Rhinolophus ferrumequinum: one gene and its partner. The protein of the gene in region 1 interacts with the protein of each later gene in a biochemical or structural test. Links are inferred from orthologs where the notes say so. Each region holds a gene or a part of one and is shown in the gene's direction. Other genes may lie near its edges. The genes, in order: HIP1 and clathrin light chain B.

What was found.
Region 2: the proteins of HIP1 (region 1) and clathrin light chain B form a complex in vitro, tested with the Homo sapiens proteins (2 studies listed by BioGRID, with this or other methods). The link is inferred for Rhinolophus ferrumequinum from reciprocal best matches to the Homo sapiens genes HIP1 and CLTB.

What each region holds. Positions count from the first base shown.
Region 1 is NC_046290.1:92,837,197-92,841,101, forward strand, and holds the start of HIP1 (huntingtin-interacting protein 1), read left to right. Parts: upstream 1-1,398; coding exon 1,399-1,518; intron 1,519-3,905. UniProt on the Homo sapiens protein: Plays a role in clathrin-mediated endocytosis and trafficking. Involved in regulating AMPA receptor trafficking in the central nervous system in an NMDA-dependent manner. Regulates presynaptic nerve terminal activity.
Region 2 is NC_046307.1:6,084,825-6,088,729, forward strand, and holds the start of clathrin light chain B, read left to right. Parts: upstream 1-1,198; 5' UTR 1,199-1,427; coding exon 1,428-1,614; intron 1,615-3,905. UniProt on the Homo sapiens protein: Clathrin is the major protein of the polyhedral coat of coated pits and vesicles.

The sequences.
Region 1 (3,905 bases):
GTCCCCATTGGTTCCCTCCCTTCCCTCTCGCACCAAGACCTGTCCACACAATGTCAGCACAGCAAACCACAGTTCTGAGCAGGCGCTTTCAGTGGCTCCCTCCTGCCTGTAAAAGACCACCCATCTTCCACTTCTCTATTGAACGTGTGAATTTTTATCAAAAGCTGTTAAAAAAAATTAATGCCTTTATTTACTTCGAGTTTCAGTTTTTGGGGTTTTTTTAAAAAAGATTTTTTATTGGGGAAGGGGAACAGGACTTTATTGGGGAACAGTGTGTACTTCCAGGACTTTTTTCCAAGTCAAGTTGTTGTCCTTTCAATCTTAGTTGTGGAGGGTGCCGTTCAGCTTCAAGTTGTTGTCCTTTCAGTCTTAGTTGCAGGGGGCGCAGCCCAACATCCCTTGGGGGAGTCTAACCGGCAACCTTGTAGTTGAGAGCCCACTGGCCCATGTGGGAATCCAACCGGCAGCCTTCGGAGTTAGGAGCACAGAGCTCCAACCACCTGAGCCACCAGTCTGGCCGTCAGAGTTTTTTTAAACACCAAAATTCACGGAAAACTTCTCTAACATTCTTTAGCATCTCTCGTTAAGCACTTCCCTCTGCCTGTCGGTACCTTGGCTGACGTCTGGGCAGGATGGGAGGGGTGGCCGGTCCAGATGAGGAGAGGTTTGAAAGGTGCGGGAGGTTCCCACTGACCCAGCCCACGTGCGATCATTACAAAGGGGATTGGCAGGGATTCAGGGCACCGTCAGGATGAGGGAGGAAGCCGAGGGAACTGGGTCTGGGCCGCCACCCACGGCGGCCAGGTCTGGCAGACACTGACCCACCCTGCCCGGCCTGGGGGCAGCGCTTCCAGGGGCTCCGGCCCAAGCTCTCAGTCCCCGGCCCTAAAGGAGTAAACAGGGTTATCCCGGGCGGGCCCAGAGCCCCAGCCGTAGGCCGGACTCCAGTCCAGCGTGACCTCCGCCCACCACGCGGGGATCTCGCAGTGCCAGAGGCTGAAGGAAAGAGGCTCGCGGGGCAGGGGCGGGCGCTGGGAGGGGAGGTGCACCGGCGTCGGGGTAGGGGCGGACAAGGGCAGGTCAGGGCCGCCTCCAAGCCTGCCCCGCCCCGCTGGGGGCGGTAGGACCCAGTGACGGACAGGTCTCCGGGCCGGTCACCGCGCGCCTCGCGGTCCAGAGGGCCCGACCCGGCGAGGCACTCCGAGGGGCTCCGGAGGGGCGGGGGCGGGCGGGGAAGCCTCTGGTGGGGCGGGGCCTCGGGAGAGTAGCGGCGCTCCCAGCCAATGGGAGGCGGGAGATGTCCCGTTAGCGCCGGATCCCAGCGGGTCGGGCGGGGCGGGCGGCGCCGTGGGGATCCCAGGGCGGCCGAGGGCCCCACACTCAGCTTGGTGCGGCGACATGGACCGAATGGCCAGCTCCATGAAGCAGGTGCCCAACCCCCTGCCTAAGGTGCTGAGCCGGCGCGGGGTCGGCGCGGGGATGGAGGCGGCGGAGCGAGAGAGCTTCGAGCGGACTCAGGTGGGGACCAGGGGATCCCAGGGTATGTGTGGCGGGGGCATCCCGGGAGACGCGGTGTCCCTAAGGGCTATGAAGGGAGTAGGGGTCTTGCAGGCCCAGGGAATGACGGGACAAGGGGGCCGGGAGAAAGGGGCATCTGGTGCTCAGGTCTAGGCGACCCGGGAAGGTCGGGGACCTGGGCATCCCAGCTGGCCTGGGGGAAAGGGCAGGTTGTCTCCGAGGAGCTGGCATGATCTGCGCGGCGCGGCTGAGAGGAGCCGGTCCCGGCGGGGCAGCGCTGGGGTCACAGGGGCGGTGACTTGGGGAAGAACCGAAAAGGGGCTGAATGGAAGGAGTGTCCCTAGGCAGGGGGAGCGCACTGGGAGCCACTGGGAGACCCAAGTGTAGCGGCGGAAAGTAGGGAGCGGAGTTGGGGATATGAAGGGTGAGAAGTCCTTTCCTCCCCTTTCGATCGCTTCTCAGTTGCACTGACATACCCCCAACCCCTAACACCCCCTTCCTGGTGCCTCTTTCTTGGCTCACACCACCCCCAGCTGTCGGCTCTTGGAGGCCTGGCCATAGGGGTCTGAGCGGTGAGAAGGAATGTGGGAAATGCGAAGTGTGGCCGAGTTTGGAAAATGGGAGCTGGAGGAGGGAGGCGTCCAGGGGCAGGAATGGAGGCGTTTGGCCCGATAGCCCAGTGCTGGTGGGATGAGCTGCCCGGTGGTGCCCAGAGCCCTGACTTGGGTTTTGGTTTCATCCACCAAGGTGTGCCTGACAGCTAATAGGTAGACTGCCTTATTTGTCCAGACTGACCAAGGCTGGGGGCCAAATTCCTCTGTGTCATCAACGAAAAGCTACAATCCATTTTTACCTCAGTTTTAATGCCTGGTGAATTGATTTGACTGAATCACGCTGACATGTTTATGGTGTTCATCACGTCGTTTGTATGCAAAAATCCATTTCAAAGCAGGCAGCACTTCTTTTAATCCCAGTGCCAGAGTTGTATGGGCAGATTGGATCTCACTCTTGCTCTCAGAGTGAAACCTTTGAAGATTCAGCTGAGCCTCCACTGCCAGAGGCTGGTTCCCTTGCTCTGTTCTGCGTTTCTCCCCAAACTTTTAGATAGGAAAGATTGTGAGGATCTGACTGAGTGTTCTATATATGGAATCTTGAAAAGAATAAAGCTTTTCATCCCAGGGACTTCATCCTTTCCTCTTTCCAGCCACGTCTGGCCCTTGAAGGTGTATAAGGGTGCTGTAAAGTAGGGAGCGTCCCCTCCCTGGGCCATCCTGCCTCAGGCAGGATGGGAGAGTTGGCCATTCACTTCTGCTCCCAGCACCAATCAGGGTTTGAGGCTCATTCTCTGGCTTTGTGGACCACACTGCTGAAAAGGAGAAAGCTTTCCGTCTGCCTTGGGTGTGACTGCCTCCTCGAGCAGCCTGGTGACATGTGACTTCTTGCTTCAGGAAACAGTGTGAATATTCTTCTTTTTTTTTAATGGAAAAGGAAAATAAATAGGTGGTATTTTATGATAACCCGTTCCTTCTAGAGTCTCAAATAAGTAAAAACTGGAGCAATAGAAAAGTATACATAAAATGTGACCCATTATAGTGGTGGAAATTAAGTTTGTGAAAGTTTCCAGCTATGATGGGTAGTCCCCTCCTGATCCAGGGATAACCCAACAAGGAGAGTCTAGATTTTTCTGCAGAACACTTGTAATTGGCTGAATTTCACCTAGTGTTTGGGAGTTGTTATGGGAATGCAGAGTAGACTGGAGGAGGAAAAAGAGAGTTTTGCTATTGTTGAAATTATTAGGGAGGTAGGAGAGGAAAGAGAACAATCCAAAATCTTAGCATTAGTCAATCTGCAAACACTTACTAAGTTTAATGACTACCTATCAAATATATTATGCTATATAAAAATAACTTAGAAAAAAAATTTTAATGAGGTAAGAGACCATGAGAATCAGCCAAGGTATAATGATAATTGTAACTAATTAGTGTTTGGCACTATTCTAAGTACTTTATTGTATTACCTTCTTTAATCTCCACAAAGACCTACGAGGTGGGTATCGGCCACATTTTCCAGGAGAAAATTGAGGCACAGGGAGGTTAAGTAACCTGCCCAAGGCCACACAGCTAAAAGTGGTCCCAATCTTTAAGCACTACCTTGTGTTGCCCCTGGGCAGAGCACTGGCATGGGATCTAGAAGAGGTTTGAGTTTTATAGCTGGGCACATGGATAGGCTATGTGGCCTCGAGGAAAGTTGTCTAACCTTTTTAAGCCATGGTTTCCTTATTGTAGGAGATAATACTTACCTTGCAGGTTTATTGTGGGGATTAAATTGAACAATATGCGTCAAGGCATTTTGTAAATTGTGGAGCACTACTATTTCAGTGGTTGTTG
Region 2 (3,905 bases), on another chromosome or scaffold:
ACAATGGGGAAGCACATAGCGTGTTCACTAGTCCTCTGTCTCCACAAAATCTGGAGTTGACATTTAGGGCAGGTCTGTCAAACAAGCAAACTTTCCAGGTCTTTCCAGCACCCCAGCCTGTAGTTGGGGGAATGAGGAAGAGGTGTGAGATGAAGGTGGAGCGGTGTGCTTGGACCAGGTAAGCAGGGCTTTAAATTTCTTTCTTGTTTACACTACTAATACTATTCTCATCGTGAGAGTGAAACCTACATCAAAGTATTACTGAGCAAGCCTGAAAGGCCCCTTCACCCCAACCCTACTGCCACGCCCCCACCCACTAAGGGAACTGCTACCACAGCTTGGGGTGTATCTTTCCTTTTTCTCTTCCAGTTCATCGTTGATGTTCAAGTTGCAAATCGCAAAGAGAAGATCCCAAAGCCCCTCCGGGTTTCCTGGTACCCCGTTTCAATGTCAGAGCACCTGCACACGGGCTGTGAGGGCCCGCTTGCCATCTGCTGGTCTGATAGATTGTACTCTCCCCATTGCCAAGACTGGTTTTGCTACGTTTTGTCGCCCTAGTGCTTGGCACAGCACAGGCAGGGAGGAGGCGTTCGGACACTGTGTAGTGAGGGTGACTGGGTGGGGGCTGGCAGGCTGCCTCGATCAATTGTCCGCCTTTCTCAGACTGGACATTTGAGGGGCCCAGCCTCTAAGCAGGGGTGCAGTCAGGTCATACAATCTCTGGCGATCTGAGTTGAAGCCACCCCAAATGAAGAGAAATGCACTAAAGCAACACGTCCTGGTGGGAAAGGCTCTGGACTTGCAACAAAGATGCAATCACGCTGTGGGACTTAGTGTCACCTCTCTTGGCCTCATAATAATGAAATTTATAATATCCACCCAGTTTAGGTGAAGAAACTGCAGAGTGGACCAGGAGCAAGCTCCGCGCAGCGGCCACCCTCTCCGTGCTCTGGAGGTCGGGGCTGCCCGCCGCGGTGGCCCTGTGCACGCTATGGCCACTTTGTGCAGTGAGCTTCCCCTGTAGACCCGGCCGGAGCTGTGCGGTGTCCTGGTGTCCTGGAAATGAGCCCTCTGGCAGGGAACGAGAGCGCTGCCCCGGCCTCGGGGCCCCTCGGGCTGCGCCACCGTCCTGCTGCTGCCCTCCGGTGGCCGCCGCTAGGCGACCTCCGGCTGTCCTGCGGGCCCCCTCCCTCGGCCGGTGACATCACCGCATTCCCGTCCCGGCTCCTCCCGTCCGCACCGCAGTGACAGGAGAGTCGGGCCCGGTGGCGAAGAGGAAGTGCGGGCCCACCACACCGAGCGCGTCCCCGCAGAAGTCGGCTCCCTGGGCGCTGGGGTGACTGTGCCGCCGCCGCGGGGCGCAGCGCCGGGCACGCGCCGGGCAGAGCCGAGCGCCAGGCGGACCCTCCAGCAGAGACGCAGGGAAAATGGCTGATGACTTTGGCTTCTTCTCGTCGTCGTTGAGCGGGGCCCCCGAGGCGGCCGAGGAGGACCCGGCGGCTGCCTTCTTGGCCCAGCAGGAAAGTGAGATCGCGGGCATAGAGAATGACGAAGGTTTCGGGGCACCTGCCGGCGGCCAGGCGGTCCTGGCGCAGCCGGGACCCGCGAATGGGGGTGAGTCAGCGCCGTGGCCTGGGCAGCGGGGGGCCTGCGCCTCAAACCGGGGTACCAGGCAGCGCAGACGGGGCCTCTTCACCTAAACTGGACGGGGCCGCAGACGGGGAGAAAGCAGAGCGCCTGCTCGCCACTAGCCAGGAGCAGGCCTGGGGCAGTGTGTGAGCCGGGCCCGGGGGGGAAATGCGGAGGAATCTTGGAAATTCTCATCTGAGGGCCCGCCTGGGGTTGTGGATCTGGTGGCTCCTGGGACAAGAATTCGTCATGACATTTCATTCCCTGGCCAGCTTCACCACTGCGAAGCTTTGGAATCCAATGGTGCCCAGCCCTGAGAATCTGGCCTGGGGTAGTAGTCGCCTGGCTGTGTGGGCTTCCAGCTGAGCCCTGAAAATGTGGGCAGAACCGCAGACCTCTCTGCCCTTCAGACTTAGCTTTCTCCTAAAGCTGGGAAAGCAGGGGACAGTGGGTGCTCCAGGAACTCACACACCTTCCCTGGGGACCACCTGCCGTCCTGCAGTCACTGGGCTAGGCACTTTATTTACATTTAATAATTTTATGTGCATTATTAAACCCATTTCAGAGATAGCAAAATCGAGGCTCAAAAAGTACAGTACTAAAACAACTGGTAAGTGGCAGAGCGACCGTTTAAATCTGTTTCTGTCAGACTCTAAGCCCTCTCCACCTGACCACATTGTCTTCCATATGCCTGGCTCTGAGTTAGACACCAAGGGAGTGGGGGCAGGGCACAGTCACATGTGGTCCTGCCCTGTGGTGTTTTTCAAAGGTGGGCCAGGGCTGCTGTGGTTAGCCTCAGACACAGGGTCCGGGGCCTGGTCTTTGTGACAGCACGTTTATCAATGATGTTTCTGTTCTGGTTCTGGCTTGAAAGAATAATTTCTTAAAACATTTAGTAAAAAAGTAGATATCACCTTCATGGGTGCATCCAACACAGCACTTGCTTTCTGTTAATGTCGTTATTTTGGTGGGGGTTTCTGGGCCTTTTGGAGTCAGTGGTAGCTTACATATTTTAAGAAAATGTTTACAAGTAAGGCTCCTTAGAGTTATGTTTGTATTCATTCAACATTTAGCGACCACCTTCTGTGTGCCAGGCCCACTGGGGATACAGACATGAGTAAGACAGTTTCTGTGACTTGAGGAGCTTCAAGCTCTCTGTAGCCCCTTGCTTTGAGAAATGTAACAAGACTTTTGTAACATATAAGAAAGTGGAGGCCCAGAGAGATTGAGTATCTTGCCCAAAGTCACACAGCCGTGAGTGACAGAACTGGGACTTGATCCATTCCCAGACCTCCCAAGTCTGGGCTCCATGCTCTTTCACATGTTACGGCAGGGCGGTCGGCAGTTATCTTGGGAGGTGATGGGATGTGGGGGTGAGGGGACGGTCTTTTGCTACCCAACCAAACCAGCAGTGGAGGTCTTCTGAAGCGGCAGCTCCTAGCACCTCAGGACAGACTCTTGCACATCCTAGGAAATGCCTGCCCATGTTCACGCACCAGTATTCATTTGTCCACTTCTCCTCCTTGAGACCACCAGCTTCCCCAGTCTGGCTTGGCTTGGGGGATGCTCTGCTGAAAACAGCAGATGTCACAACCCCCTGAGAGAGAAGCAGTAGAAGTCAGGCTGAGGTAACCAGAGGCGTCCGGGAGTTGAGCGGGTTGTGGCCTCTCCCAGGACAGTGGGGCTCTCAGGGCTCACAGCCTGGATGGGAGTTTCCCTCTCTGGCAGGGGTGGGGCATGAATTGGCCGCATGCCTGAGGTGGCAGGGAGAGAAGCAGGGACATGCCCTGTGAGGGTCTGTGGGACTCACAATTTCACACTGCAAAAGCTGCAAATGCCCTTCTGAGTGGGGCAGGGGGATCCAGGAGGTATCGTGGCTGGCAGCTCAGTAGGTGGCCAGAAAGGATGGAATTGATCTGCCCTCCTAAGCCTACATGGTGCTGAGCAAGTAATTCCCCCTGGACTAGCAGTGAGTGCCAGAAGCCAAATGGGTGGGGAACATGTGCCTTGGCCTGCCGGGAGCTGGGTGGAAGCTGGCTTCCTGTCAGCACCGCTGCCTGTCAGCACCTCTGAGTCTTGTCTCTTAGATGATGCCCCTGCACAGAGTGCCCTGACTTGGGCCCCAGGTGCCCCTGGGAAAAGAGGTGTCTTGTGTAGGCCTGAGCCTGAGCTACATTGAGTCTTTCCTCTGTGGGCTGGAGCCTGTGCAATGGACACTGTTTCCATTCATCACCTTGGGTAAGGCCCAGAAGGTTTACTTTTTCACACCTAGATTG